4 linked regions of the Arabidopsis thaliana genome follow. The protein of the gene in region 4 interacts with the protein of the main gene of each other region in a pairwise test. Each region holds a gene or a part of one and is shown on either strand. Other genes may lie near its edges.

What was found.
Region 1: the proteins of AT1G14340 (region 4) and SDH6 interact in a two-hybrid assay, tested with the Arabidopsis thaliana proteins (one large-scale study listed by BioGRID).
Region 2: the proteins of AT1G14340 (region 4) and AT5G65925 interact in a two-hybrid assay, tested with the Arabidopsis thaliana proteins (one large-scale study listed by BioGRID).
Region 3: the proteins of AT1G14340 (region 4) and AT1G71480 interact in a two-hybrid assay, tested with the Arabidopsis thaliana proteins (one large-scale study listed by BioGRID).

What each region holds. Positions count from the first base shown.
Region 1 is NC_003070.9:2,679,789-2,687,716, forward strand, and holds SDH6 (succinate dehydrogenase subunit), read left to right. Parts: upstream 1-4,387; 5' UTR 4,388-4,551; coding exon 4,552-4,731; intron 4,732-5,092; coding exon 5,093-5,195; intron 5,196-5,461; coding exon 5,462-5,607; 3' UTR 5,608-5,914; downstream 5,915-7,928. Other genes in the region: SSL3 (strictosidine synthase-like 3), read right to left, coding at 2,474-2,876, 3,081-3,248, 3,511-3,786, 3,864-4,189; CPNIFS (chloroplastic NIFS-like cysteine desulfurase), read right to left, coding at 6,192-6,362, 6,885-7,043, 7,148-7,247, 7,327-7,390, 7,507-7,579, 7,661-7,806, 7,916-7,928.
Region 2 is NC_003076.8:26,365,189-26,372,572, reverse strand, and holds AT5G65925 (uncharacterized protein), read right to left. Parts: upstream 3,529-7,384; 5' UTR 3,452-3,528; coding exon 2,999-3,451; 3' UTR 2,719-2,998; downstream 1-2,718. Other genes in the region: ZWI (kinesin-like calmodulin-binding protein (ZWICHEL)), read left to right, coding at 1-82, 207-333, 414-616, 702-884, 955-1,050, 1,137-1,334, 1,655-1,926, 2,024-2,204; AT5G65920 (ARM repeat superfamily protein), read left to right, coding at 6,916-7,384.
Region 3 is NC_003070.9:26,927,625-26,935,571, forward strand, and holds AT1G71480 (Nuclear transport factor 2 (NTF2) family protein), read left to right. Parts: upstream 1-4,227; 5' UTR 4,228-4,454; coding exon 4,455-4,793; exon of another isoform or gene 4,794-4,843; intron 4,844-4,882; coding exon 4,883-4,997; coding exon of another isoform or gene 4,998-5,002; intron 5,003-5,077; coding exon 5,078-5,159; coding exon of another isoform or gene 5,160-5,163; intron 5,164-5,253; coding exon 5,254-5,305; exon of another isoform or gene 5,306-5,399; coding exon 5,400-5,462; 3' UTR 5,463-5,689; downstream 5,690-7,947. Other genes in the region: AT1G71450 (Integrase-type DNA-binding superfamily protein), read left to right, coding at 1-15; AT1G71460 (Pentatricopeptide repeat (PPR-like) superfamily protein), read right to left, coding at 623-2,692; AT1G71470 (uncharacterized protein), read left to right, coding at 3,162-3,300, 3,533-3,789; AT1G71490 (Tetratricopeptide repeat (TPR)-like superfamily protein), read right to left, coding at 5,702-7,747.
Region 4 is NC_003070.9:4,893,504-4,901,597, forward strand, and holds AT1G14340 (RNA-binding (RRM/RBD/RNP motifs) family protein), read left to right. Parts: upstream 1-3,842; 5' UTR 3,843-3,947; intron 3,948-4,191; 5' UTR 4,192-4,205; coding exon 4,206-4,324; intron 4,325-4,415; coding exon 4,416-4,491; intron 4,492-4,576; coding exon 4,577-4,690; intron 4,691-4,847; coding exon 4,848-5,273; 3' UTR 5,274-5,532; downstream 5,533-8,094. Other genes in the region: AT1G14345 (NAD(P)-linked oxidoreductase superfamily protein), read left to right, coding at 5,673-6,263.

The sequences.
Region 1 (7,928 bases), 2.2 Mb from region 4:
GTTGATAATACCTGAGGTTAAAGGGGGATGTATGTGGAAATTGATTGATTCTTTATCAATTTCATGGATATATAGAGTTTGTGTATACATAGAAGCACATGTATATACATAGAGTGAGTAGTAAAAGATATATAAATTCCATCTTGGGATATAAAATGGTAACTTTTATGGTGCTGAGATAATTCTGAAACTCACTCATTCCAAAGAAACATTCTTTGCAAAAAGCAAAGGCTTCCAATGAATAGTTCACTTGGGTTGTTTTTAATACTTTTTTTTTAATCAATGAGAAATCAATGCTCGTGTCTTCTCTTGTCAGCCACAAAACTCATAATCCGGTTGAGTATCATGATTAATAATATGTCACACTTTTATGCTGCTGATCGGCTCACTATTTCAAAGAAAATCATAAGCAGCGTGAAACGGGACGGTCTAGTTTTGGTCGATACCGTTTTACATCAATGATGCGAATTTGACAAAAATATAATTTTTTCTCGACGGTAGGCACATTTTTATGGGGGAAAAATGGTACATAATGAGCTATTATTTGTCTATGATATATAACTACCAGTTCGGTCGTGTATTAATTTGCAGTGATCGTTATCAAGATTCGAATCGAAACCATGGGTTGTTTTAATAACATGGGCGATTTGACTTTGTCAACGCATACTCGTTTTGTGAAACTTTTGTAGTATGTGGTCTACATAAACCATGCATTCTCTTAAAAGATAAAATATTATCGTATATGAACTCTTTTAAGTGACTACTGAATATTATAAGAAAAACGTTGTCTCTTTTGATTAAATGTAATGCAGAATAGCAATTATAAAAGTAATGCTATAGATATTTTGTTGTATAGCTGTGGTCAACTTTTGCTAAAAGAATGCCACTTTGGAAAAAATGACTCAAGCATTTAGACCAAATAGCAATCACTATAGTTTTCACGTCAACATCAAATTTCTATTCAGTATTACGTACTAATTATAACTTCATTTTCTATTTGTCCAAAATGGACACTAACTCCGCAGCTGGTGGCTATGTTTAATGATAAGCATCTCGTAGAGATCGTATATCCACCACTCCCGACGAAGGGTTAGAGAAGTGGGGTCGTCTCCAATGTGTGACAACAGTCTTAGAGACACTTACGTACACCTTCCATCGTCCATGCACAAATATTTTAAGAAAACAGGAAAGTAGAAAAGCTTTGGATATATGATTTTGAATTGAGATAGGTATAAATATAGTAGTAGGAGAGGGAGAGGAAGAGAGGGAAGAGATGACATTTTTAATGAAGGGTCCAAAAGAAAAACAGAATCTGAAACGTCAAATCATGTTAGTTGAGGTCTTTGGCTGTTTGTGCCTCTGACGGGTCTTGTCCACACACTTTAATGTTTCCTTTTCTTTCTTTCTTTTTTCACTGCCTTTTTTCTTCCTTCATTATTATGTTTTTTTGCTTCAATCTTCATTATTACCGTTTTCATTATCCTTTGTTTGTTTAACGGTAAATCTGTTTCGGAACAATTTAGTCTAATAGCCACAAATAAAAGTAGTGTAAAGAATGTATTAGTTAGTTAGATATAATTAGTTATATATAAATTGCCAAATCAAGTCCATAACAAATTAGAAACGTGGATACACAGCTTTATCCTTAATTTTGTTTTTGTTTTAATTAGCTTACATGATTGCATGTGACACATAAATGACAAAAAACAAATTTGACATAAACCATACTTTAAAAATAATAAAATTATGTATTAATGATGTTATTGGTTTAACTGATTTTTATTTTAGAAGTCTACACTTTAAAGTTTAATCCCTACCTCCAACATCTTTAATCCTAACAATCCTATGAAATTGTATATGCTTAAGCAGTTAACCCTAACACTGTGTACCCTTACGCTAATTTAAAAGATTCTATGAAAGTACTTCTAATTTTATATTATTTTTAGCAATAGAATTTCATAACATTAATTTCTATGCTTTATAAACATGTTTAATTCTAGATATGGTATAACTATATTTCTTAAATTGTTACCCTAAAGTCGTATAAATGTGTGTAAAAAAAAAAGTCGTATAAATGGTGAACAATTAAATTGCAAAGATGAAAGAACACAAATTATTCACGTGGCCAGCCCAGCCCAGTAATTGATAGATTTGTTGTTTAAGCCCAGCAATTAGTATCGAATCGAACCAATATTCTGAACCGAATACATCATGGTTACACGACCGACACCTATAAGGTTGTCTTCTTTGATGATCAAACCTAAAGTCCGAAAAAGAAAAAAAAGAAAAAAAACCCGAAAAACTTTAGCTCATTGAAAGACTAATTGACTAAAGACATGGCAAAAAGGATACTGTATTTAGTAATTGTTTGTGTTTGAATTGATTACGTCAAATATAGTTTGATAACGAGATGCATATTGCAATCCCATAGCCAAACTAGAAATATACAAATTTGAATAGAAAAAGAAACGAACTAAGGCAAGTCATATACGGCAATGAAGGACATCAATACACTTCCCATCCAAAGCTTCCCATCTTTCTCCTCCACTTCACTCACTGCCTTCACCACTTTCCCTTTACTATCTTCCAACACCTTTAGCACTTTCCCTTCTTCACTGTACTTCACAGCTACAGCATGAGGCCAACCACCTACCTGCAGCAAGTACTGAAACTTCACTGATATCGGCAGCTTCAGAAAGAACTTCCTCACCCTCGGGTAATGCGCCATCAAGTGTGTGAATATGTTTCTGTGGCAGTGCACCGCCACCCAGAAATCTCCATCTTTGTTTGTGCGGATGTTGTCTGGGAACCCATGTAATAGAGCTACCACTTCTGACGTTCCAGCTTTCTCCCCTTTCAACCAGTATTTCCGTAATCTGAACAACAACAACAAAAAATGACTTAGATTCTGTTCACAGTATTGGAGTTTGTTTCTAGCAGAATCATTGAAACGATATGGAAACAACATGCTAATCGTTCCATTTTAGCTTCAATCAGAAATGCTGATTGCAGAAGTTATGCCAAGTATATATACAGACAATGATGTGGAAGTCAGAGAGGAATTAAGATGAAGGACTCACCTTCCAATAGATCCTTCACAAAAGATGAAAAAGGAGCCGTCTTTGCCGAGGGATAATCCGTTAGGAAACTGGAGATTTCTCACGAGAGTGGTAGTCTCCTTTGTTTTTGGATTGTATTTCAACACCCTCCCACTGTCTTCCCCCGAGACAATCAAAAGCATAAATTTCCTACAAATAGCGCAATCAACATACTCAAACAAAAGTAGTAACTAGACATCGGAAGCTCATTGCAACTTCTTGTAGATCCTCAAAAGATAAACAGAATTCAACATTTAAGGCTCTGAAGTTATAGCCGCAGTCAAAATTTTCAATTTATGTGCCTATGACAGATCATTTCAATCAATATAACATGAGTTCCAAAAAGCAACACTTTATGCAAGCCACTGATCAGGAGAGTTAGTAAAGATCAAAACTTTAAAACCTTACATACCTTCGTTGGAAGAAAGAGCTGCTATCAGTAAAGTAAACATTGCCTTCATCATCAATGTCAAGATCATTGGTAAATCTCAAAGGCACACCATCAGCCTCGTTTGTAACAGAAGTTGCTAAACCTCCTTCCGGACCAACTTTCATTATCCCCAAATACGCATCTGCAATGTACAAATCCCCATTTTTCTTGTCGAATCGAAGACCTAAAGGCCGACCACAGATATCTTCATCCTTTAAGTAATCCAAAAGCGATGGCTTAGGATCACATAGCTCTGACCTAATAAAACATCAAAGTTGAGAACTTTACTGGAAACGAAATGGTCACAAAGACTCGATTGCAATCACAAGACTCACCGATTGTTCGAAGTATATGCGAAATCTGTCCAACGAGTGCCATTCCAAAAGAGAATTCGACCGTCGGCGACTCCGGTATAAGGACCACGACCTTGCGGATCGAAAGCAATGCTCTCGGGACCTTGAACCTCGTTAAGAAACCTGATCTCTGAATTCTGCAACAGATTCTGGCGGTCTCTCTCCTTTGGAAGTGACGATAACGGAGGCATGTCAATCTTGTAAGTTTTGAAATCCGGGAACTTGGAAATGGAGCTGTGACTGAAGGGATCGATAGCGCAATAGATGGCAAAGACGAGAAAGATCTTCGCGAGTATGCTCATGGCCATTTTCTTTGTACGAGGGATGATGATGATGATTTGAAGAAGAAAATGGTTGGGGAAGTTTTAAGGTAGAGAAGTAGAGAAGAAGTAGTTGCAGTAGAGTACACTTTTCTGGTTGAAAATTTAAAACTTTTCTCAATTGCTGCTCTTTTTCGATATATTAAGAAAAGTCAAGGAGCAATTGCAAATCGGCTAATCTGATGGCAACCCGGTATTAAATTAAAAAAAGAAACATGAAAACCGGGTGAACCGGATCGACCTTCCATTTTTTCGGTAGACCAGTTTTATTTATTCTGCAAATAATAATCGTCTTCAATCAGAGAAAAAGTTTGCAGTGAGAAGGAGATTGATTAATCGATCTGAGAAAGATGGGAGATTCGGAGTCATTTGTTGGGAAAAATTGGAATGGATTGAAGGATTTCTGGAGTGATAGGTTATCATTTTTCGAAAATTACACCAGATTCACCAAACGCGACGCGCCTCTTCCTTCTTGGTCTTCCTCCGACGTCGAGGAATTCATTGCCTCCGATCCCGTTCATGGACCCACCGTAATTTCCTTCTATCTTTCTCTCGCTCTGTGTTTTGGAATCTATAGATATTGTTGGTCCATTATCTATGACTCGGCTGGTACTCGATTTTACTCTGCTGTCATCGGTTTATTTTTTTCTTCTTCATTTGATTTTCCATTGGAAAGTTTCTGTTACTTTTTGATATAATAAAGTTCCACTAGGCTAGGTTTTTCTGGCTTTAGTCCTTGGAAGCACAGATACAAGAGGACTAAGCCCACTGCATCGTCGTCGGATGGCATAAAAAACCTAGCAAAAACTGAACTGTTGGTTTGGTATTTGGTATTCTTACTGAAGATCTTACGTTTGGTACTCATTGTGTATTTGTGGTCATCCTATCCAGCTGAAAACGGCTAGGGAAGCTGTGACGTTTGGTGTTACCGGAGCTGCACTTGGAGCTGTCTCTACTGCTGCTTTTGCCTGGAAATACTCCAGGAGTCCACATGGTAATGACATTTCTCTCTCTGTGAATAACTATTTGCTCTTTATAAACCTCACTTGTTTCTTCAAACGAAGACACAAAGCTTGCAATTCAGGGATAATGGGATTATTTGGGAGTCAATTAGACCTTTATGTCCTATATTGATAATACTTGGAAACTGGTTTGAAAGTTTATGCAGTTCTCATGGCGCTTACATTGTTTCTCAATACTAAATTGCTGTTTATTTTTCTTCCAACTTTTGACACCTCTAAACTACTGCTGGTGCGACAGGTGCTGCATTGTCCTTCTTAGGAGGAGGTGTTTTTGGTTGGACCTTTGGGCAAGAGGTCGCCAACCACACACTGCAACTCTACAAGTTGGACACAATGGCAGCCCAAGTTAAGTTCATGGAATGGTGGGAACGTAAGTCTCAATAAAGGTCCTGAATCTAAAACGAAGACGTGTGCTGCTTTCTCGTCCAGAGTATCTTCTTGGGAACAACATGAAATGCTGATTATCCATCCATTTCCAGACTTTCGCCTTTGAAACTTTTTCTATTCTCACTCTTGGAACATGTTTGCCTTGTCTTAATAATACAACATGCCTCATGAATGTTTTGAAGATTTGAGAAAATGAATTCAAAGAAACCAAATGGTCTCAAAAGAATCAGGGAATGACGACTACCCCAACTGAGCACATATCGAAACCTTTCCTTTGATGATTCATATTAGTAACTTTTCTTCATGTTGAGTTTGTTTTTTATGAAACTTACAAATTAACAACGAAGCATTTGCTTTCGTGTGTATTCGTACAAATATGATCAAGTAGAGGCCTGAAATTGTTCATGACTACTGTCGGTCTATTTTTTCATACAAATTGCTAACTACAACACAAATTGCCCTTCGGACTTGAAGAAACAAAATCCACTCCCATTGATCATATAAAGCAGATTTAAATAAGTAGCCTCTGAAGCAATATACCATACAAACCAGCCGAGAGATCCAGCAGGAAGGTGTTCCACTTATTTGAAAGAGTTGAAGAAGCTCACAGTGTCTGCCAGCGCAACGATGAAGGCGTCAACGTCATCCTTTGTGTTGTAAAAGTAGAGGCTGGCGCGTGCACTTGCATTCACTCCAAGATACCGGTGGAGTGGCTGTGCGCAGTGGTGTCCTGACCTTATTGCAACTCCGTGCTGCAACATACAATATTCGTTTTCAGTTTTCATCCCACTATGGATATTCTGATGAGAGAGTAAAGTAGGGGTTTGAGGTGGACGGTTAACATTAGAACGATCAAGATGAATTTGTTTAATCTAGATCAGTTAAAACTTCTTACAGCTGAACTCATTACTAATGTATGAGAATCACTCGGATCAAGTACTTGGACAGGTATCATGTAACCTAGATGATCTACGGGTTTTGTTTTAACCTAGTTATCAACAGAGTCCAGGCTCGTGTTCACACATGAGATTTCACCTAAATCTTGGAATAAAGAAGATCAACCTCAATTATAGGCTGCTACCACAAGATATCCTAAGGTAGGCATCTGAGATTCGCTTTGACCACTAAGTGGTAACATTACCCACTAAGAAGAGAAAGAGGTGGTAGGTAGTGCCCTTATCCTACTTGAGGTACTACCTCATATTAAAAGAATACGTTCAAGATAAGAGAAAACCAGTATGTGATGGGACAGATAGCTCCCAATTATAACAAACCTGCTGATCAAGAAAGGTTGCCAAATCAGTTGGGTGCAAGCCCTCCACATTGAAGGAACAAAGAGCACCCCTGTGAACACTTTCAGAAGGTCTGGGACCGTATATCCGCACATCAGGCAGGGAAGACAGTTTCTCGTACAAATACTTACCAATCTCTACCTGGATGACACAAGAAATTAAAATCTACAGTTAGAAAACATGTGAGAATCTCCGTGACTGTATGTACGTCATTGACGTCTAGTTGTAGGAAAATAAAATTAAACCTCATATTCATGGATTTTCGGCATGCCAATTCCTGACAAGTAATCAACTGCTGCTCCAAGGGCAATTGCTTCTCCTATTGCAGGTGTTCCAGCTTCAAATCTGATACAAACTTAAATATATTTATTTCTAAACTGCAGCAATTATGCAGATTAGTAACTAATATATGTAGAATCCCTACCTGGATGGAGGTTCCGCATAAGTTGAATGGTCAAGAAATACATCTGAGATCATTTCTCCGCCACCTAAAAGAGGATCGAAATACAAGGAAAAAAAGAAGTGGGACTCAGTCCAGTCCCATCCTTGATTAAACAGATATGATAAACTGTTTTCATAAAGAAATATTAGATAGACTGCTTACCTAAGAATGGAGGCATGGAATGTAGAAGATCACTCTTACCATATAAGAACCCAATGCCTGTAGGTCCACACATCTGAAGCATGATTATCATATTACTATAAGCTTGCCACAGGGCTTATTATGCATTTCATGAAGAAAAATAAACAATTCCAACCTTGTGAGAAGACGCAACTAGAAAATCAGCATTAAGCTTCTGGACATCAACCACCATGTGAGGAACACTTTGACAAGCATCCACTAGAACTTTCGCTCCAACATCGTGTGCCCATACCACAATCTCTTCAATAGGAAGAGAAGATGCTAAACAAAAAGAAACATAAGTTAGATACTTACCTTCTTTCATGGAAAAATTAAACACATATACAAGCCAAACAAATTGAATATGATGAGAACATGAAAAAGAATCTACCAAGAACATTAGA
Region 2 (7,384 bases), on a different chromosome or scaffold from region 4:
TACGATTGAAAGTAAGAATTCTGACATGCTGCTGTTGCAAAATAACTTGAAAGAACTTGAGGAGTTAAGAGAAATGAAAGAGGTAATGGTACTCTTTTGTCTTCTTCATTATTTAATTTTGTTTCTGTTTGAATGATGATAATGTATTTTCGCGATTCAAAATTGAAGTAGAGGGATGTGTTTACATTCCAATTTCATTTTCTTAGGACATTGACAGAAAAAATGAGCAAACAGCTGCCATTTTGAAAATGCAAGGAGCCCAACTTGCTGAGCTAGAAATACTTTATAAGGAAGAACAAGTTTTAAGGAAAAGATACTATAATACCATAGAAGGTAACATAATGCTCAAGTATGTACAATGATGTTCATTGCTTTTAAAAAAGAATTTTACTAACATTTTTATTTGATTGTAGATATGAAAGGGAAGATTAGAGTTTATTGTCGAATAAGACCTCTAAATGAAAAAGAGAGTTCAGAGAGGGAAAAACAAATGCTGACAACTGTGGATGAGTTTACTGTTGAACATCCATGGAAAGACGACAAAAGAAAGCAACACATATATGATCGCGTATTTGACATGCGTGCTAGTCAAGATGATATCTTTGAAGACACAAAGGTATTATTGATATGTAACTGTGTTCATTTACCTTTCATCCTTTGTTATTTTCTTGTGGTTACTAACATCGTTTTCCTTTTAACAGTATTTGGTACAGTCGGCTGTAGATGGGTATAACGTTTGCATCTTTGCATATGGTCAAACTGGTTCTGGAAAAACTTTCACTATATATGGGCATGAGAGCAATCCTGGACTCACACCTCGAGCTACAAAGGAACTGTTCAACATATTAAAGCGAGATAGCAAGAGATTTTCATTTTCTCTAAAGGTAATTTGTTATCCTAATAGATGATGTGATAAAAGATTATGACATCAACTGACTACAAAAAGTTATGCAGGCATATATGGTGGAACTTTATCAAGACACACTTGTAGACCTTTTGTTACCAAAAAGTGCAAGACGCTTGAAACTAGAGATTAAAAAAGATTCAAAGGTATTGTGAGATATATCTATTTTAACTAGGTTATAACTAGATTGTAGACACGTAAGTTTGATCTTATGCATAAAATATTTTCTCAGGGAATGGTCTTTGTAGAGAATGTGACAACTATTCCTATATCAACTTTGGAGGAACTGCGAATGATTCTTGAACGGGGATCGGAACGACGACATGTTTCTGGAACAAATATGAATGAAGAAAGCTCAAGATCTCACCTCATATTATCAGTTGTTATTGAAAGTATTGATCTTCAAACCCAGTCTGCTGCGAGGGGCAAGGTGACAAAATTCACTATGTTTTTCTTTATTGACTCATTATCATTTTTCACAGGATTTAGTAGCATTTAGGGATTTTAAGGAAATAGGAGTTTCTTTAGATTTTCATGCTTAGTCTACCGAAGAAAAATATAGTAACATTAATCTTGTTTAAGAGAGATATTATTTTACAGCTCAAATCTTTGGTCTGGTACAAAATGTTAAACCTTTATGTACACAATCCATATTATTAGTCAATGATATGCCCTCCATTGTTAAACCCATATCACCTGATCATGGTGGTATCTTCTACAATATTCTGAATTTTTGTTTGTTATTTGCAGCTGAGTTTTGTGGATCTTGCTGGTTCTGAGAGAGTTAAAAAGTCGGGCTCAGCTGGTTGTCAACTCAAAGAAGCTCAAAGTATCAACAAATCACTTTCTGCATTAGGTGATGTTATTGGTGCTTTATCTTCTGGCAACCAGCATATTCCTTATAGGAATCACAAGCTAACGATGTTGATGAGCGATTCATTGGGCGGCAATGCCAAGACGTTAATGTTTGTTAATGTGTCTCCAGCCGAATCAAATTTGGACGAGACGTACAATTCTCTTCTGTAAGTCATGAGTTCCCATATATATATAACATAAATCAAATATGCTTAGTGTAAAAATGGATAATCCATATTGTTTTTTTTCCTCCTTTGATTCCAGATATGCATCGAGAGTGAGAACGATCGTGAATGATCCCAGCAAACATATATCATCCAAAGAGATGGTGCGATTGAAGAAGTTGGTAGCATACTGGAAAGAGCAAGCCGGTAAAAAAGGTGAGGAAGAAGACTTGGTGGATATTGAGGAAGATCGTACACGAAAAGATGAGGCAGATAGTTGAAGAAAGCTGACATGAAATTCGTCTAGGTGAAATTGAGACTATAGTATCACTGGTTTTCACCATTCTTTTTGTAGGAAGTTCCTGCTTTATAGTAGAGTTTCTATCGAAGAGTAGTCCTATATGTCTCAAACTTTCTCTCTTTTGATGAGATCTTCATTACAAGAAATGAAAAAAAAAAAAAAAAATTCGTAGATATTATATGAAGCTGGTGAGAACCATACAAACATATAAAGATAACCCCATAATGTCAAAAGTTATGGTATACGGAGACTAAAAATTCAAACTTTTAATTTAAGGGAAAACTAGACTATAAATTCCATTTTGTGGATTGGAGAAATAACAAAAATTCACCAGTAAAATTTAAGGATTTACACGCAAGACAAATGTAATCCATACGTTGACATTGGGTGATGTAAAGTTGAAGGACTACTCTAATGCCTAGAAGAAGGAAAAAAAAAAAAAATCTCTTTTTGTTTGACCTTTTTTTTTTTGAATAAAACTTTTTTTCATTCCATGATTTCTCATCTGTCTCGCATTAATACTAATTCAGTGTTCGTTGAAAACGTAACTCAAAAATGTCGAAATTGACACAATGAAGGACTACTTTCACTATGTCTGCAATCTAGACTGTGTATTCCGTACTGAAATTTATATACAAGCAAGAAAGTCTATAAGCACACTTGAACAATGCACACAAAATGAATTTCTTTCAGCTGTTTAGCGTTTTTGTATCTAACCAGAAATGGAAGAAGAAAGAAACGAAAATGAGTATGGTCATCTTCATTTTCTTTCTTTTATTGTTGATGAGTAGTGAAAACTCCACCGATTTTTCTTTTTTTGCTATAATCCTCTTCTTCAAACTGATCACAAACCTTCTCTTCATCAATCCTTCCCATAACCATACAACTATAATTTCTCCGGAGATCCATCTGTCGTTTCATAGCCGTCGTCTCCACCGTGATTTCTCCGCTGCTGGCGCCACGTGTGACAAACCGGCAACGTTCACGTGTTGTCGTGGCCGAATTTAGGGTGAAGCTACGAGGGAGAACGGTGGTTGGTGCTTCGCAGATTTGGAAATTACCGGGTGGTAAGCCAAAAGCGCCGGAGCCACCACCACCGCGGATGAAACCGGCGGAGCATGACGTCATGCTACGTATGTAAGCGTCACGTGCCATGATCAAGAAACGAACCGGAGATTTCACCAACCTTGCTAAATTGCTTTCTTTCTTCATTTCTTTAGCTTTCATGATTTAAAGTGGAATAAAAAAAAGTTGATATAAGAGATTACAGAGAGAGTGAGAGAGAGAGGAGATGCGACTAGAACAGGAAGATGCCGTGTATGATAGACTTCGTTTTAAATGCATTTCAGAAATAATAATTATTAGGGTATGTATATATAAATGTATCTAGTTGGATGTTTACGGTTTGGTGATACTTATCTTATTAAAAATTCACAAAATATTAATCTATAGTTTAATTTACTTTGGTTAAGTCAAAATAAGGTTGAAGTTGTAATCTTAAGGGCCGGCAGTTTTAATTAGTATTAATTTTTTAGAAATTTCTTGAAGTATTTATCCATTGAAGCTTAAACTTGCTTACAAGCTCAATAGTCAAATAACAATTGCCAAAGTACACGTCTATATGTCTTTAAACACGTTATCAAAGCGTACAACAACAAAAATATCAAAGTCGAAATTATTATTATAATTAATATGGATTGAGATATGGCACCAAATTTCTTGCATTAAAAATACTGAAATAATGATTTAGGGGGAGTGAGAGATTCATTGGAAGGAAAAGAGAGTATATAAGAAATTGGTGGTTACAGTTGACTTGATTTACCAGTTTCACTATCAAAATTTAAAACCAATTTGTCAAATAAGAAAGATTTTGCTTCAACTTGATTTGTTTCTATAGAGATATTTGACAATGGATTCAATATGTTGTTGGCAACTTGAAATGAAAGCAATAAATTCATCGCTGACATATCTATCTGCACTTTTATAATTTCCAATTATAACTTGCCCCACATAATAAAGTTTTCGAAAGTCAATTTGTAACCTGTATGTCTAGGACGAGATATATTAAATTTTTGATTTGCATCTTTAACAACGACAATAAAAATTCTCGATTTTGCATCTTTATATTTTTGCATAGCTTATTGGGCTTCTTAAATCCTATCATTCACGAAGGCCGTGTACAGCATTTTGATGTACCATTTCGAAGCCCTCACAGCCCAACAACACAAACATTATTATATTTTCTGATAATCGTAGGCATGGTAAAATTTTCAGTTTTAGACCCAATAATATCGTGAATCGAGTTCTATGTTATCCAATTATCATGATGATACTATATGAATTCGCAAACGAATATATCCCGAAAAATAAATCAATTCATCAAGTTAAATTATGATCTGCTGAAAAATTAATCATAATTTGTATCACTAACCTAAAAATAGCGAAACAACATGTTAAATAATCTACGAGTTTAGGACTCACGTGACAGTCTATGTAGCTTAGAAACAAAATACAAAGCGCAATGTGATGTAATTATTCAAATACGACAATCTCAATAACTCATTTCTAAGTTAAATAATCAAACAAATTTAGCAAATTGAAAATTATGCAGGGCAACTCTAGGCACAACAATTATATAAATGTCCTGATATGTGTTCTGTTCATCAAACAATATTTAGAACAACCCTAACCAGCCTGTAGTCATGGTCACTAGGTCCCTTCTCTAGCACATACAAACAGCCATTTATTAGTTAAAAATACTAATTGTATTATCGTCACAATCAATATGAAAATTCACATGGTTTTAGTCGTTATTACAAACACGTCACATCGACTTAAAACTCTTGCCGGTCCGCTTTAAGTTTACTAGTTTGACCGGGAAACTCATAACATCGACAACATTGAGATCATTCATTGGCAATGAATTCATTGCCTATCAATAGCCATTGATAACATACTCTATAAATTAAAAATACTAAGAATTCAAAAATAAACTAGCAATTAATTGTAGAACTAAAACTAGTTGAGTGAATCATACTTTTGTTAATAACACATAATTAAGATTGAATCCGTGTGATATTTGAAAACTTGGTTGGAATATCAAAATTCTGCATTTCTGGCAGAGTACTCAACTCCAACAAAAACAACACATGGGTCTCAGATCTCTCTGCTGACACTCCCATCAATTTTCGCTTATTAAAATTTATCTTCATTTAGTTAAATTTGTAGTATTAATAAAAGTTAACAACATTCATTAATACCGAAGATTAGGAACGAAAAGAGAGACGTGGAAGGATATAAGTGGTGACAGAGCAGTCAAAGACAACCGAGACACGATCGAGGCGTACAGTCAAAGCAACACACACTGTCATATGGTCAAACGTCTAGCTGGATCTTTTGCATGTAGTGGACCCCATACTTCTTTATTTACACTTTTTCTTTTTTCTTTTTCGTGCCAATCTAGGAAATAAACTTACTAAAAATTGAAAAATATGTTCTTACAGAGAAAAAATTGTTGTTATTCTTCTAATTAAGTGGGAGTAATACTACGGATTTGTTTAAGCAAATATGTTCCATTTCAATAGTATGAAACGAGAAAGAGTAATGCTTTTGTTTTTCCATGTATTTACTCATTACTGCAATTATTCTTCATAGTTTCTAGAATATATAGACTGTAAAGAAAAGTGTTTATAAAAAACGAGATTTTTAGATTTTTGTTTGAAAAAATAGAGAATTGTTTATAGCAATGATAATGATGATTCAAATAAAAGGTTAATGAAGTAATTAGGCCTTGAAATGAACGTCGCACGTGACCCTAACCTGTCCTCGTGGGTATTTGTAGTTTACTTAGCAGCTTTTTTTACTTACGTGCGGGATTTTCTTTGCTCATCGTCTAAAAGACCATAATACCCCCTTCATCTATTTTTCTTCTTAATTTACTGAGATAATACTTTATTGTTTTTGACAACACATCGATTTCAGTAGCAAAAATTAAAGGGAAGACCCAAGAGAGTGCTCTTTTAAGCAACATGATATTTCAATGGAACACAAAATCAATATGAAGATTTATTATTTGGTCTAAAAATATTTAAAAAAAAAACACCTCAATTTTTTTTTTAGCTAAAGATGGGTACATATGGGTCAAGCCAAGGACAAAATGGGTATTTAACCTCAGGATCTGAGCTTGCACGTGTGGCGCATGGGTCGAGAGATGAGTTGATAACCGGCTATAGCCTGTAAAAATCTCGGTCAACATAATCTGTGTTTTTTTTTGGGTTTTTGTCTGCTTTTTAGTTTTTTCCCAGCAAAAAGAGTGAAAAAGAGAAAATCTTTGGTCCAAACCAAAAGAAACGTTCCCTTTTTTTAATTTGTCTCTTTGCTTTAATAATTTCCTTCTCACCGAAACACACACCACAACCAATTCTCTTCTCCTTCTTCCTCTTTCACAAATTCGTCATCTGGGTATTCTTAAATTTCTCACAAATTCATTTACTTTTTTGTTCTGTTCCGAGATTTCAAGGTTCACTATCGATTCTGAAACTCTTGGAACAATCCAGATTCTTGGTTAGCAGGTGGGGAAGCATTAATCATGTATTTATGATACACTGCTCCATTATTATTACGAGAGAGTTGAAAGTTTCCTTTTTGACTCGTTTTTAAAGGCAAGGAAGAAGAAAGACTTTGTTTTTAAAATGCCAATGTTTCAGCCTTCTAAGAACGGTGGGTTTGATGGGCATATCTTAGATCTACACTCGGCGGTTAAAGACGGTGTTCTTGGCGGCGGAGATGGGAAATTTCTGGTGGTTGTTACCGATGAGAAGAAGAAATTGGATTTGAAGGAGATGATTTCTGAGCTGGAATTACCTGAAATACCCTCTGTTTTCATCTGTCCTATCTCTCTAGAGCCGATGCAAGATCCAGTGACCTTGTGTACTGGTCAAACCTACGAGAGGTCCAACATTCTCAAATGGTTCAATATAGGGCATTGTACTTGCCCAACGACGATGCAAGAGCTTTGGGATGATTTGGTCACTCCTAACAAGACTCTTCACCAATTGATCTACACTTGGTTTTCACAGAAGTATGTTTTGATGAAGAAACGATCTGAAGATGTGCAAGGACGTGCTATTGAGATTCTGGGTACGTTGAGAAAGGCTAAAG
Region 3 (7,947 bases), about 22 Mb from region 4:
CTTTGGGACCCTTAACCCCAAAACCTAACTCATGGAGAGCTTCTACAGCTCAATCTTACAATACCAGCATAAGTTACTGGCTTAGAATACTTAAATTTATTGAAGTTTAGTTTTCAGAGTCTACCACAAGGGTTGTTGATTCTGACGTTATAGCAAAGAATAAAGCTCATCAGATTTTGGAGGGAAAGACTCTATGAGCTTGATGGGTCCCTGAAAGGACCTCTTCACAAATATTTTTAAATTTTTTTGTTACTAGTAGAAACATAGATTATGAGGTGTGACTTATTATTATTTTTTACAATTGTTTGTTACCTCATTGATGTATTTGATTTGATATAATATTGAATGGTTTCCTGAAAGCTATAAGATATTTTATTCTTACTAGACTTGTGTTCTCTCTTGACTTTCTTCCCTTAACTAATCTTAAGAAAACTCTACATTTGATACTGCAAGATTTTTACAAGTTGAACAAAATTCAATCATTCTGGAACCAAATTCAGTATATACAGCACTATTAATGCAAGTTCTTGGAAACAAGAGAACAGAATATACTTCTCATAACTCTTCGAGCAACTTACTTGGTGGCTTTGAGAAAAAGCAAAGAAGATGTCTGAATCTGCAGTCAGGTCTGTAGGGATGACGAGGAACTCATGACCGCAAGTCTTTGTGCCTCTTCAACACGACCACACCGATTGAGAAGTTCAATGACCAGTGAATAATGCTCTTCTGATGGCTGCAAATTGTACATCCGGAGCATCAAGTTGAAGAAGCGATAAGCTTCATCAACAAATCCGGCTTGACTGCAAATAGATAAAACTGCTGTAAATGTGAAGGTGTTGGGAGTAAACCCTCTTGATACCATTTGCTCAAAACAGTTTATTGCATCCCTGAAGAGTTCATTGCATCCATAAGCCTCTATAATGGCGGTCCATGTCAGAGAGCCCTTGACAGCAACAGCATCGAAAGAGAAATTAGCACTTCTGAGATCTCCACATTTTCCATACATCTTGATGATTCTTGCAGAAACAAATGGGATCGACTCAAATTCCTTTTTCAGAATGTGCCCATGAAGCTCTTTCCCCAACTTTAATGCTTTGAGATCACTGCAAACAGTCAAAACCCTACCCATCGTAACAGAATCTGGCCTGTGTTTTGATAACAGCATCAATCTGAATACCTCAATCCCTGCTCTTAAATCACAATTTTCCACATAGCAGTCAATCATAGCGGTCCATGCTTTCACATTCCTTTGTTCCAACCTGTCAAACAGTCTGATAGGATACTCTGGAACACCGCACTTTGAGTACATCACCATCAAGGAAGTGACCAGGGATACATTCGGCAAGAAGAGATTCTTTAAAGCATAACAATGAATCTCCTTTCCTTGCTTTATAGCCCTCAGCTCTGCGCAAACAGGAAGAACAGTAGCAATTGTAACAACATCTGGCCTAAAACCTTCCTGCTGCATCCAAACAATCGACCTCAAAGCTTGATCAAATCTACCGTTGGCTGCGTATCCAGACATCAATGCAGTCCAAGATATGGCATTCCTCTGTTTGGATCCATAGAACACACGTCTCCCAGAAGCCATATCCCCACACTTGCAGTATAAATCAATCAAACCAGAGTGAACAAACGGCTGTTCCACGTAATTCTTCGATTTCAATACATGGGCATGGACCTCCTTCCCCAGTTTCAGTGCCTTAACATCCCCAAGTACGGGAAGAATCGTTGTAAGTATAACTGAGTTTGGATATATCTTTTCTTCACTAATCATCGTCCTAAACAGTCCCAACGCTTCCCACTGCCTTTTATTGTGAGCCAATCCAGCAATCATCGCCCCCCAAACAACTATATCTCTCTCTACAATCTCATCAAAAACTCGACGTGCAAGCCCTACTTTACCACACTTAAAATACATATCAACAAGAGAAGTCTTAAGAAAGACACTATTAAACAAACCATTCTTAATCGCAAGTGCATGCGTCTTCAATCCCTGTCTCAAAGCAGATGCACCAGCAAAACTCTTAAACACATTAGATAAACTATAAACATTCAAATCAACACCAAGCTCTCTCATTTCTGTAAACGTAGAAAGAACATCTTGATACCGCTTCTTCCCTGATATAACAGTCCCTCTAAGCAACGCATTCCAAGAGTAAACATTTGAGCTAGTACTTTCATCGAACACCTTCTGTGCATCTTTAACCGAACCACAAGCAGTATACATATGAACAAGCTTGGTCCTTAGAAACTCATTACTCTCCAACCCATTAATACGTATATGAACATGGACTTGTTTACCGTGAAGCAACGACTTCCGGCGAACACACGCCTCTAAAAGAGCAGAGAAAGTTGTCGCATTTACAGGAATCCCTCTCTGTTCGAGATAATCAAGAATCGTGAGAGCGACTTCGAGATTGTTCTGCCTCGCAAAAATTTGAATATCTCTGTGGATAATGTAGGGGTTCTTGGAGTGGAGAGGAAGAGAAGAAGGGAAAGCATCTCTTTCCCTAAAAGGTTTCGGCTTTTTGGCGGGAGAAGTGGAAGGTCGTCTAGTTCTGCTTGGTCTAATCGGAGATTTCGCCGGAGCGCCATCTTTATCGGAACGATGAGGACGGTGGTTGAGACTCGTCGTCACGGAGAGGGACGCCGGGAGGTCTCGGATTCCGAGAGACGACACTACTTCCATTGTGACCACTAACCACTTGATTAAGCTAAAGGTCGTTAGTATTTATATGTAGCTTTAAACTATTTTTATAAAGTATGCAATTGAAATTGAAAGCTAATATTTGGGCCAGAAAATTGAAATATGGGCTTAGGGCCCCCAAAACAATTGTAGCCCATCAGTTCACACACGGTTTCGTTTTTAAAAAAAGCATGTATTTAGAATTTATTGGCTTTTATTTTGGTGGTTGCTTCAATCTTCCTCGTTTAAAAACAATTCATGTCAACTTGGACAAGTTACAAAAAAAACGTTTCATATTTTTGTCACTAAAAATATTCAGTTAAATAAAGTAATTGACTCTTCGTTTTCCCGACGATACTGTATAAATAAACATCATGTTTCTACTTGTTCACATATCGACTCTTTGTTTGTCCGATTCTATCTCTCTCTTTAGAAACTTTATCTAGTCTCTTCGAACTTAATCTTAACGACGATGGTGCCGGTTACGATCAACTCTCCACCTAAACCTGAATCATCCGAAGAAGAACTCAGCGACTCCCAAGTTTCCAACTCATCGGAAGACGACGACTCAATGGAAGACGAACCATCAGACTCTGAAAACAACAATGGAGGTACATGCATGCATCACTCTCTATTTTATTTCAGATTTTTCACTTCACCATTTCACATGTTTCCACTGTAAAGAAGTTGGAGCGTTTGTTAAGAAATACTTTGCATGTTCATGTTCTGTTTGACTGTGAGGTTTCAAGATTATTACGTTGATATAAAAATCTTAAAAGTGATTAAGATAGTTTTTGTATCGTATCTTTAATACTTTCTTAAAAAAAAATCTTATGTCAATAGTTGTTACAGAAACTGAGGCTAATGGTATTAAAGATGAGTTTTGGGCTCGGTATCCATCTTTGAAGATGTTTTTAAGTAAGGAGATGGTCAAAGAATTTATTTCTGAAGAGTATATTTTGGAGAAAGGTAAGCTTATTGGAGATAATAAGGCCAAAGAATTGAATGAAAAATGTGAGGTTTTGTTTATCAAGGAGATAGAGCATCTCATCAACAAATATCGCTTCATGGCTGATGTTTTGGAGTTGTTGTTTTTGTGAGAACTTTTCGATAGTGACGTGCATGGCTTGAGTTTGATTTTCTCGTTTTTATTTATGTTATAATTATTGTGTTCCATCTATGAATGTAAAAGATTTATGAAGGATTCGATTTTTTTCTCTTTTTTTAAAGATTATTATAAACGTCTTTCATAACCATCTCTTTATTCATTATATGTTCAGGAGTGAAAAAACAAAATCTAAAAAATAGGGTTAAATGTTTGCTTAGCTTCTCTCTTTATGTAGATTTGAGAACCGATGAACAAGAATTTACTGAAAATATATCATTGATCTAAAAATTATGAAAAACAATTCAACTTTTTATCCACCAACACATATTTTTCTTTACTTTTCTGTTCTGCTACGCATTACCTAGTCTTATATTTCGAAAAATTATAAAATCTCATTTCACAACTAAATTAAAAGTATCATTTCACAAACAAATAAGATGAAATGATGATAGAAAAATCATCAATTAATAGGAAAGAGGATTGGAGTATACTTCTATTGATTGTTACAGTATCCACATGGCATCGATAATCATAGGGACTACTAATAAGAATTTCTGTCCACAAATTCCAATTGAAATTCAAAATTCAACTCTTTGCTCTCTTAATCACAAACACAAATGAGCCACAAAAACGAAGACATCATATCAAGAAACGACGATGAGCTTCACTGCTTCTCTCGTCTCTTATTTGACGTCTCCCTCACTCGTCTCGCTCAACCATCTTCCTCCTTCCTTCTTCCTCCCAACCAAACTTGTCAAGCCAACAAGCCTCACTCATTCACAGCCTCCGAGATTGTCCGCATCCTATGGTCCAGCTGCAAAAGCTGCTACAGCCAACGACGTTGTTCCAGAAACAGCTCCGACATCAGCGTCGGAGGTCGTCTCCAGCTTCTACGCCGCCGTTAACGTCCATGATTTATCCTCTGTCACAGACCTCATCGCTCAGGACTGCGTCTACGAGGATCTCGTCTTCTCATCTCCCTTTGTTGGCCGAAAGGTGAAACGATTATTATTCTAATAAACCAAAGTCTCTTCTTTTCAGACTTTGTTGTGTCTCAGAGCCTAATTTTGATAAAGCCATGACAGGCAATTCTTGATTTCTTCGGAAAATTCATTGAATCAACAAGTACGGATCTCCAATTCGTGATAGATGATATCTCAACAGAAGACTCTTCAGCTGTTGGAGTTTCATGGCATTTAGGTTAGTTTTTAACAGACTCTTTATGATTTAGTCGTCTATGTTTCTCTAATGATAAGTCGTAAATTGGAGATTTTTGACAGAATGGAAAGGAAAGAACTTCCCATTTAGCAAAGGTTGCAGCTTTTACCGGTTAGAGGTGATTGATGGGAAGAGACAGATCGTGTAAGCACACTTTTCTCGACAGATCGTGTAGACTGACAGAGATGCCAATTTTTGTCTTGCTGGGATAAACATTTCTTCTCTGTTTTGTTTGCAGATATGGAAGAGACTGCGTTGAGCCTGCAATCAAACCTGGAGAAACAGTTCTGGTAACATGAGCTACTATCAATTTTGATTGTGTGGATGTGTTTGAAATTGCAGAGGTAATGAAGATTTAACAGCTTTTGCATTTTGTGTATTCAGGCTGCTATAAAGGGAGTTACCTGGCTGCTGCAGAAATTTCCTCAACTGGCCGACCAATTCTGATGGCATTACAAAGCTCTTGCTCGATGAAGTGAATCAGCTCACAATATAAGTTTTCTTTGTGTTATATAGGAAAAATACTTCCGCAGCAATCCCCACCATTGTCCAATTTTAGTTAATGTATATACTAGAACTTGTCATGTGTATCCAACTTGTTCTCAGTCTGGTGATATGCAGGCGTATATAGACTATGTGCTATTAACTAAATAAAGCTCCAGTTGATCATCCTCAGCTCTTCACCTTCATCCCATTTCTTGAAGAAGTTCTTCATCTGAACTTTGCACCTTATTGATGGCATAACCAGCATTGTCTTTCATCAGCTGATTCAGTCCATCTAATAGAGGATAAGTATTACATGCTTCAGGGCTTGATGTGTCCCCCACCGAAAACAGTGAAAATCCAGAATCTGTGTCGATCCAAGCACAGCCAGGATCCTTTTTCACACCCAAGTCCCTCATTATAGTCCTCACTTCAGCAAGCTTGCTCCAAGAACCAGCAGCTGCATACATATTTGCAATTAACACGTAGTATCCCGGGTTCTCTGGCTTCATCTCCAGGAGCTTTTCTGCTGCCCATTTACCAATCTGTGTGTTCCCATGGATGTGACACGCGTTCAGTAGGGTAGCCCACGTGGCACCGGATGGCTTATATGGCATATTGTGAATTATGTCTTTGGCTTTTGCTAGGAAACCTGCTCTGCCATAGAGATCAACCATACAAGAAAAATGTTGAAGACAAGGACGTATACCATACTCACACTGCATCTTCATAAACAGCCTTTCACCTTCATGGACTAACTTGGAATGACTGCAGGCTGATAGAACTGCAACCACGGTTACATGGTCAGGTTTAATACCAGATCTGGTCATCTCCTTGAACAGGGCCAAGGCTACTCCCCCTTCACCTTGATTTCCGTATCCATCTATCAAGGAAGTGTATGTTACTTCGTCTCTTTTGCTCATCAAATCAGATACTTGCTTTGCAGCTACAATCTTTCCCGATTTTGCATAAACATCAACAAGGGAGTTCCACAGCATTGTATAGTCCTTGAAGCACTTGCGCCTCAGGATGTAGCAATGAAACTCTTTTCCATGTTGCAGGTTTGCAATCCGAGCACAAAGAGGGAGAATGCTTGCTAGTGTAATGGAATTTGGCTGAAAGCCAGCAACCAACATCTCCCTCAGCAGGTGAGAGGCTTCTTCTGATTTGTTCAGCTGCGCATAACCGGAAATGATAGAGTTCCAAGTACACAAACTATTTTCTTCAGTCTGTCGAAACACTATTAAGGCGTGCCTAAGGTCTTTGCATTTTGAGTACATTGTGATCAACGTGTTTCGAACATTGTCAATCCCATCATAAGAACTGTGAATAGCAAGACCGTGAATCTCTTTTCCCAATCGTATTGCTCCTATGAGAGAGCAAGCCTTCAAACCAATAATCATAGCCACAGGATCTAAGCTCGTAGGAAAATTTCTCATCCTAGAGATCAAACCCAAAGCTCCTACATAATTTCCTGTTTGCAAACAACCTCCAGAAATAATATTCCAAGTTATGACACTGACCTCAACACCTGAAAACCACATTTTATCGAAAAGCTCAAACGCTTCACTCCACATGCCTTCCGAAGCATAACAGTTTATCACTGCATTCCATGAGACAGCATCCCTTTCAAACATTCGATCAAACAACCTCCGAGCAATACCCATATTTCTAAACCTTTTATACATAGAGATCAATGCATTACAAACATACAAGCTGGACTTGTAAGAGCTAACCTCGATGGAACCATGAACCACCCTTCCAAAGGCAACGTCAAGTGTTTCACCACAAGCCTTAAGAACAGACGGATAAGTGAAGGCATCGGGTCGGATTCCCTTGCTCACCATTCTCTTGTAAGCAGCAATAACCTCCTCAAAAAGCTCGTTCTTGGCATACGAAGCAATGAGCACATTCCAAGGTAAGGGATGCAAAATGTCAGAGTTCTCAATAATCGATTGAGCTTCATTGTGGAGATTGAAAGCAGAGTAAAAGGTAACCAGCTTTGGGACTAACACAGAGTGATATTCGACACCCGACGAAATACAGTGAGCGTGAACTTGCACCCCTGCTAAAAATGCACGAACATCAACGCAAGCGGATAAAAGGGAAGCCGCGGAATGCAAAACGAGGTCATCTGAAACTGCAGAAGAAGATTGAAGACGAAGAAGAGAAAACGTTTTGAAAGCGTCGTGCAAATGACCGTGGCTGGCCAAATGTCCAAGAGATTTGAAAAGACTCTCACTCAGCATTGGTTCAATGTGGGTTTGGAAAGTTCTTGGAACAAGACTGCGACTTTTTCCATAATCTGGGAATAAACTTGACAATGTCGGCTATGGTGAGACCTCCAAGAATATACGGCATATACTCTGTCTAACAACACCATGCCCAACGCGCCATATTCGAGCTCCACAACAAAAAATATGCTTCTCTACTTGAGATCAAAGCAGAA
Region 4 (8,094 bases):
AACAAATACTAAAAGATTAGTAAGACACTTATTATTATTATGGATAAAGGTCTTGATCGTACCATATGTTATCTTTACATATTTCACGCATTGATTAGAATTTTGATAAATCATCGAAGCTTAAGTCGCGCCGAAAGATTTTAGCGTGCAACTAAAGGATTATTATATTGCGAGTTGCATCTTGGCAGCTGTAATCCACTCATTAATTGCCACGTGTGAAGGCCATCTTTAAACATTATTTGGACGGTAGAAAAGAGCTTTATCAGTCGTTAGAATTTGTGAGTAATCTAATCAAATCATTTGCATATCTATCTTTCTAAACTGTGTTTTTTCTCTTATTTTGTTATATCTATCTTTTTATTTAGTTTTTGCTTTATCTTCTTAAGGCGAGATGTATGGTATCGTTAACAGTTAACACGGTATTTTGACTATTATCCAAGCTCGTGAAACCTTTTCATAAGTAATTCAAGGTGCAATGAAAATGAAAAAAAAAAAAAAATCGTTGAAGTTGACATCGTATAGAAGAGGTCTAAGATCCATATTTTATGTACTACTTTATAAATAAATTACAAATTTAATCTTTGAGACATTGTGGTGTTAATAATAACCATTTTGTATTTACTGAATTTCGATAATGTTTGTGACGTATTGTTCTATCAAAGTTTCCAAGTTTGATAAGATTTTTGGAGTCAAAGGTCAATAACTATGAATTTAAAATTCCGTTACCTTTCAACGATATTTATCTAATACTATCTCAGCAGAAATGCAGTTACCCTTAATTAATAAAAATATATATATATTCTACAGAGCTGTTTGTATTTTCATATGGTAAAGTTTCATTATCTTTTCGTTTTCAATGAATATTGGTTTTGACTTTTGACCACAAAAACAAAATGAATATTGGTTGGAGAAAGGTTAAATATAAATTTATTTATTTTTGCTTTCGAATTTTCTTCTAAAATTATCGAATAGGTGACTGTTTTTTTTTGGCGTATCTTATTAGTGACTTGTGTCTGAAAGTGAAGTCCTAAGAGCTGTCCACGTGATCTGTTTGTATTGTGTGTTCACATTCCTTTTCTTTCCACATTAATCTCTCTTATATTAAGTGTCTTAATTGATGACTACATTCCTAATTTATATATGTGAAAGTGTTATTAAGAATCTGAGTATTGTGTTACATAAGAATGGGTATAAGATTGCTAAAGAGAATCCCCAAAATTTTGTTTGTATTTATTTTCGAGTAGTTGATATACCTTCTCATGTGAGTTACATTACTTTACGAGCCATTATCCGACGCGTGAAAGCCCAGGCTACATCTGTATTCACAACTGAGGAAAAAGACAAAATTGCCAACAAAAGTATTAGGTTGAAAATTGATCATTACAAGTTGCAAGTTGCAGCACATTACAATATTTTCTTCTCATTACAAAAAATATCGAAAAAGATTTTTTGTGTGTGTATTTGAATAGCTGTTATACCAGCTAATTGTTTTGAATTATCCGTCGTAAGGAGATAACGTGGTGGCTCCTAATACCTTTACTTCTTCTTTTCTTCTCTTTTGGCAATGCCTTGTCATTCAAGTCAACGTCGAATTTCAACACGTGCTCTTCGTAAACTCAAGATTACATAGATTTGAATGTAACTAACTTATCACATCTTATATCTAGTCTTCTAAATTTTGCTGTCTATGGATAATATAACATAATATATGGTATATAAACAACACATTATGATAAATATCTTAAATACATTCACTTTAATGGGATCGTATGAAAACATTTTGTGTTTCTTTTGGTCATAATTGCAAGTTGAAGTATTGGTTAATGCTGACCATCAGGCAAATACGAAGAGTAAACAATACATGATTAACATCTAAGAATTGTTTGTTCTGGTTTCGGCCGTTTTAGTTTTCGGTGGATATGGAAAAATGTGTAGAACAAAAAGGTTCAGAACTCCAGAATTCTACCACACAAAAGAAATTGTTTCAGGTTTGACGCTTATAATTTATGATTTGTGGAACAATGACAAAGATTATCATCGACTAATCTTAGAAGACACTTATTAAGAATCACATATGAAAAAAGCTTACTAGATACAAATAATATAATAACAATAAACAAACTCTATTAACAATAGAGGAAAATTGGGAGATATCAACTTGGAATGTGATATTTGAATCGACTAATCGAGTCAATTAAAGACAAAGAAAATTATGATTTAAGAAAAACAGGTGAGTTTGATAAAACACGTTGTAGTCTTGTTGTAGATCTCCGAATTGACGTCAACTCAATATCAAAATCTTTCACTATGAAATTCAAAATCCGAATCAAAACGTCTAACCTAGCTATAGAATATATACATTAGTCAATGGTCAACCTTTTATATTTTATTGTTATAATCATATATGGTGAAGATAATTGTATTTGGAGGACCAATATTCAACTATTTCCTGTAATTTAGAACATTTATTTTTTTCTTAAATATATGTTTTTTGCTTATATATAGTCGCAATTTTTAGAAGTTCCATAATCCATATACTTGAACTTCTAAAGCTATAGTCGCAAGCACCTTATTGTTGTTGTTTAATAAAAGTTCTAATTTTGGTAGACAAGTGAAAAAACAAAATTAAACTATCTGGTGTTTACATATATGAAAAATATACATTTCCAGCAGTGAATTTTGGTTTTGCATGAAAAATACATAAATAGCAATTCACTGCAGCAGGGGTCAGAATATAGAAACATGAACCACACACATAAAAAAAAAGTAGATTCTGACTAGATCAATCTGAATTAAAAACTAGTAAATTTTGACAGACGGACGTGGCCGTGGAAAGAAGTAGAAAGAGACAATGAGAGATGGAGAAAGAGAGACGTAAGTATTGATTTGGCCAACGGCTCATATGCAAAGAATATTAATAATAATAATGTTCTTTGCGTTTTTTTACCAATTACATCAAACATTTGTTAGGCACACGTCTTTTCTTTTTCTCCTTTTTAGTTAAGGGCATCTCCATCCATGAAAAACCCACAAAGTTTCTCAAACAAAAAAAAATTAATATTATATTATAATTTGATTTTTTGATTAAAAAAATATTTTTATTAAAAAGTTGAATCAATAATTAAAAGGGAATTATCATGATGGATTGTAGAGAATATCTCAGAGTTTCTCAAGTAAGAAACTTTCTACTCTCTCTCCTTCATTTTTATTATTTTTATTTTTTAATTGTGAGAAACTCTTATAAAAAACCCCCAATGAAAATGGTCTAACTTTCTTTTCCGTTGAATTTCTCTCATGTATTAACAGTAACATAAGTATTTATATCACATACACTTGTCAAATTTGTCTCTTTAGAGATTTTAAAAAGTTATCACTTAGAGAACTTTTACCTGTTTGGACTTTGGACGGTTAGACAGATAATATCTAAAATTACTCCAATTTTTATATATACATGCAATACTAAGGTATAAAAAAGGTTCTAGAATGTTAAAATCGTTGCTGAAAAAAAACAAAATCGTCTATAGATTGTTAATTTTTGCTTCTTGTACAAACACTTAGTAATGATTAATGATTTAATTTTAATATGTAAAGACTGATTTTTAAAATAAAAAATAGCATAAGATGAAAATTTATGTTTCAAAAAATATTTGTGATTATGGGTTGTTTGAGACTGGAAAATAATCAAACAACATTGGGCCTTTCATGTAGAATTTTTTATTACATTTAGAACCGTTAACGATATGGGCTAACTCAAGACATTAAAGGCCCAACATTGAGTTACTAAACGGCGCAGTTTTTAGCTTTTTAAAATTGCGTCTTTTTCGTTCACTGAAAAGGTAGTCCTTCTCTTTCCCACTCACATCATCAACTTCATCAATTCATCACCTTTGTCTCTCTTTCAAGCTTCTCTGTGTGTGATCTCCGTTGGTCAACAACAACTACAACAGGTAACTTCTATTCTTCGATTCCTTAAATTTCTTCTCTAGAGCTTAGTGAATCAACGATTTAGGTCTGAACATATTTGGCAATCTGTCCTTGCTCAAATTTCGCTTGAAAATTTCAATCCCAAATCATGTAAAGCTAAATCGGAAAGTTCTATGTAGTTCCCAAAGTTGAATCACGAACTGGAAGTAATTTAATTTATTGACTTAGGATATGTTGAAATTTTTAGGTTTTTTGTTTTGTTTTTAGCTTATTGAGCAGAGATGGATCATCAATTTGGATATGGTGTTGAAGTTACTGGGTTATCTCCATCTGTTACTCATAATGATCTTATCGATTTCTTCTCTTTCTCTGGTACTATCCAAGATATTGATATTGTCAGGTGAGTCTTTTTACTTTTTAGCAAGTTTGTTGTTTGTTTGCTTATTCTGGATTCAAAAGAGTACACTTTGTAATGTTGTTAATGAGACTAGGTCGGGTGAGCAAGCTTGTACTGCTTATGTGATGTTTAAGGATTCTTATTCTCAAGAAACTGCTGTTTTACTCACTGTAAGTGTTAGTTTGGATTTGATTCACTCTTTCTATCTTTTTTGGATGTCTCTTGAGAAATCACTCACTTCTTTGATATCTTCAGGGCGCAACGATATTGGATCAGCGTGTTTGTATAACTCGTTGGGGACAACATCACGAAGAGTTCGATTTCTGGAATGCGACTTCGCGAGGTTTTGAAGATGAATCGGACTCACAAGTATGTATCGCTTTTGACACTTCTCTCAACTTTGATCTTTCTGTCTTCTTTTTTTGTTAAAATAGTTAAATCTAACGGTCACTGGTTCAGTAGTCTTTATGTTGAAGTTTGATGCTTGGTCTCAATTCTAAAGCTTATTCGTTCTTCAATCATGTAGCATTATGCTCAACGAAGCGAGTTCAACGCTGGAGAAGCAGTGACAAAAGCTCAAGAAGTGGTGAAAATAATGCTTGCCACAGGATTCGTGCTAGGCAAAGACGCTTTAAGCAAAGCTAAAGCCTTTGATGAATCCCACGGCGTATCAGCTGCAGCGGTGGCTAGAGTATCTCAACTAGAACAGAGGATTGGTCTTACTGACAAAATCTTTACCGGACTTGAAGCTGTTAGAATGACTGACCAAAGGTATCATGTTTCAGATACAGCTAAATCAGCTGTCTTTGCCACAGGAAGAACCGCGGCAGCAGCTGCAACTAGTGTTGTCAATAGCAGTTACTTCTCCAGCGGAGCTCTTTGGCTGTCTGGTGCATTAGAGAGAGCTGCTAAAGCCGCATCTGATCTCGGTACCCGCGGCTCAAGGCAGTGAATAGACCAATGGCCCGATTCAGAACCGTATTCGTCTGTGAATATATATGATGCAAAGCTGATCATGAATAACTGGCTCATGAAGTGTGATAAGACCAAATTTTATCAAAACGAATACCATATAGAAATCTATCAAAGTATACTCTCACATGATGATGCTGATATAGAGTTTGGTTACATTACCTACATCTTAACTCTTCATTAGTAGCATAATCTTTTTTCTTATATAATTTCTGATTTATATCATTCTATGGTTGATATTGATTCAATATTTGGATAGATGTTGTATCCATAGAGCTTAGGCCACGTGGCACAATTTGCGCCAAAAAATCAAATCCAAAAAACAGAGAAGTCATCATCTTTTCACTCCAAATCTTCCAGTCACTCAAATCATTCTCTCATGGCAGCTTCTTCCTCAATTCCGCCGTCAACCGCCGTAACCTCCGTCGTTCGCAAATCTCTCCTCCTCTCAACCACCTTCTCCTTCCCCGCTTCTTCATTGTCTCCCTCCACGAAACTACCACAAAGACACATTCAAAGATTGCTCCTAGCTTCCTCCTCCGCATCCGCATCCACCGTTCCTTCCGATTCCAAACCGGCGAAGAAAGAAACAGTCTACTTCGACGGCGGAGCTCATTACGGAGATCTATTAGCCAATCTCATTCTAGGTCTAACCATCCTTTGGCTCCCACTAACCTTAGCTGCAGTGTCTCGAGCTTTTAACCTTCGTTACAGGTTCACTAACCTCCGCGTGACGGTTATTTCGGGACTCACCGGAGATGATCGGAGCGATTTCTCGTACAAAGTGATAAAAGACGTTCAAGTTGTGCCGAGGTTCATCGGAGAATGGGGAGATATCATCATTACTTTGAAAGATGGAACTAAAGTGGATTTGAGAAGTGTCCCTAAGTTCAGAGAGATTGCTAAGTACTGTTTATCTATGGCTGATCAACCTGCTGTTTTGAAAGAATCTGGTGCTAAAGGCTTTTGATTATTTCTCATTTCTGGGCAAAATTGATTCTTCTTGTTGTGATTTCTTCAGTACAAATCGAATCCTTTCCATGTTCTTTCATTTGTTATTGATTTCTTCATCTCTGTATTGTTAAGACGATCGTATCTAAACGGCGCGCGATTTTAGCTCTACAATAAGAAACGGCGTGATGTTTGGTTAATGTTGAAACGGCAGGTAGTCCTCTTTTAGATTAGAGAAATGGCATGGATATTAATACTATCTTCTTCTTTTTTATTCATATGGCTGCATTTTAAGAATATAGAGGATTAACAGCCCAAAGTTTGGATTAAAAAAAAAACAGCCCAAAGTTATTTATTAATTATTCAAGTTCAAAATAGCGTCAATTATCTTTAATTTATATACACGTTTATTTATTTCTACTTTTCTAATAACCAAGATTCATCATAAGCAAATTAATCTCTAAAAAGTAAAAACTATCAAGTTTATACAAATGGGCAAACGAAAATGTATAATTTGAATAATGTGCCCACATTAATTTCTATACTCGCATATGAAAATATGATTACGTTTTTTATGGGATAACGGATTCAAATACAAGAAATGGGATTACATATTCAATAGCTTCCTTTGTTAGTACTTTAATTCTAGTAGTTCAAAGACTAATTAATAAGAACTACATATGGTCCTATCTGTTAAATTTGACCATATTAATCTAATAATCTCCATTGGATTCCACTAAAATTTGTTAAAAAAATATTAGTAGAGAATTTCGTAAGAGAAGGTTGATGAGTATGTATAGGGAGTCTTATTAAAGCTTCTGCCTCTGACACATTCTCATCAAATCTTATGTAGTCTTCCCCATTTCCCAATTTTGACCATATTATTCTTGTTTTTATTCTTTGTTTATCATACCCCGTTGTCTTCTTTCATTGTTTATCCTATACGTTTTCTAATCACATATAGGGTGTGATATGGTGAAAGCAAAAAGATGTGGGAGTAAAATAAAAATAGATTTTGGCGTAATTATTTCTGTCCATTTTCTCTAATTGTTTTGTAGCGGAAAAAATTATAAAGTTTTCGACACTTTCAGCTCAAACCTTTTTTTTTCCTTTTTCTGTGAATCATAGGCGAATCTAGAGTAATATTTTATTTTACTCTAACAAATATAACCAATAACACCCATAGTTTTTATATCTCCACTCCAATGATGCACTATTTTTAGAGAAACATCCGAAATATGAATACATTATCTCCAAAATATAGTGTTAGAAGTTGGTTTCGCAATGTGAGTTCATAGAAGTTGCATATAAAGCATAAATATACACCGTAAAGATAGATGGCTCACTATCCACCAGCAACTTTCAATTAAAAAGGAACATTTTGCAGAATTCATATTTCTCTCTTTGTTCCCAAGCTTTATGTCACATTGTTTCACATGCATGGGCAGAATGGGCTGATTGGCACATATGTGCACTTACATGTCCGTGCGCTGTGCGCATCTGTAAAAGTTCATGTCTACATGGTAAACAAGTACGCGTATTGAATACGTACACATACATACCTCTAAAATGGCGTATTCACGAGAAATCCAAAATACAATATGGGATCAATATCCAATATCAGCTGAATTCTTCGGATAACTTAGAATCTATATATAAAGCAAAAACCTTATAATATACTATTAACTTTATCTCAAAAAGGAAAGTGGTTAATTCTGAATTTGGTCAGTCTTTTTAATTTTAAAATAAATAGAAAAAGGGCGGCGCATAGTAGAAGTTTTGTCAAATGTCAGGCTAACACGCATCCTTAAATTGTGCAAGAATGTCTTTCTTACACCCTCCCATTGTTT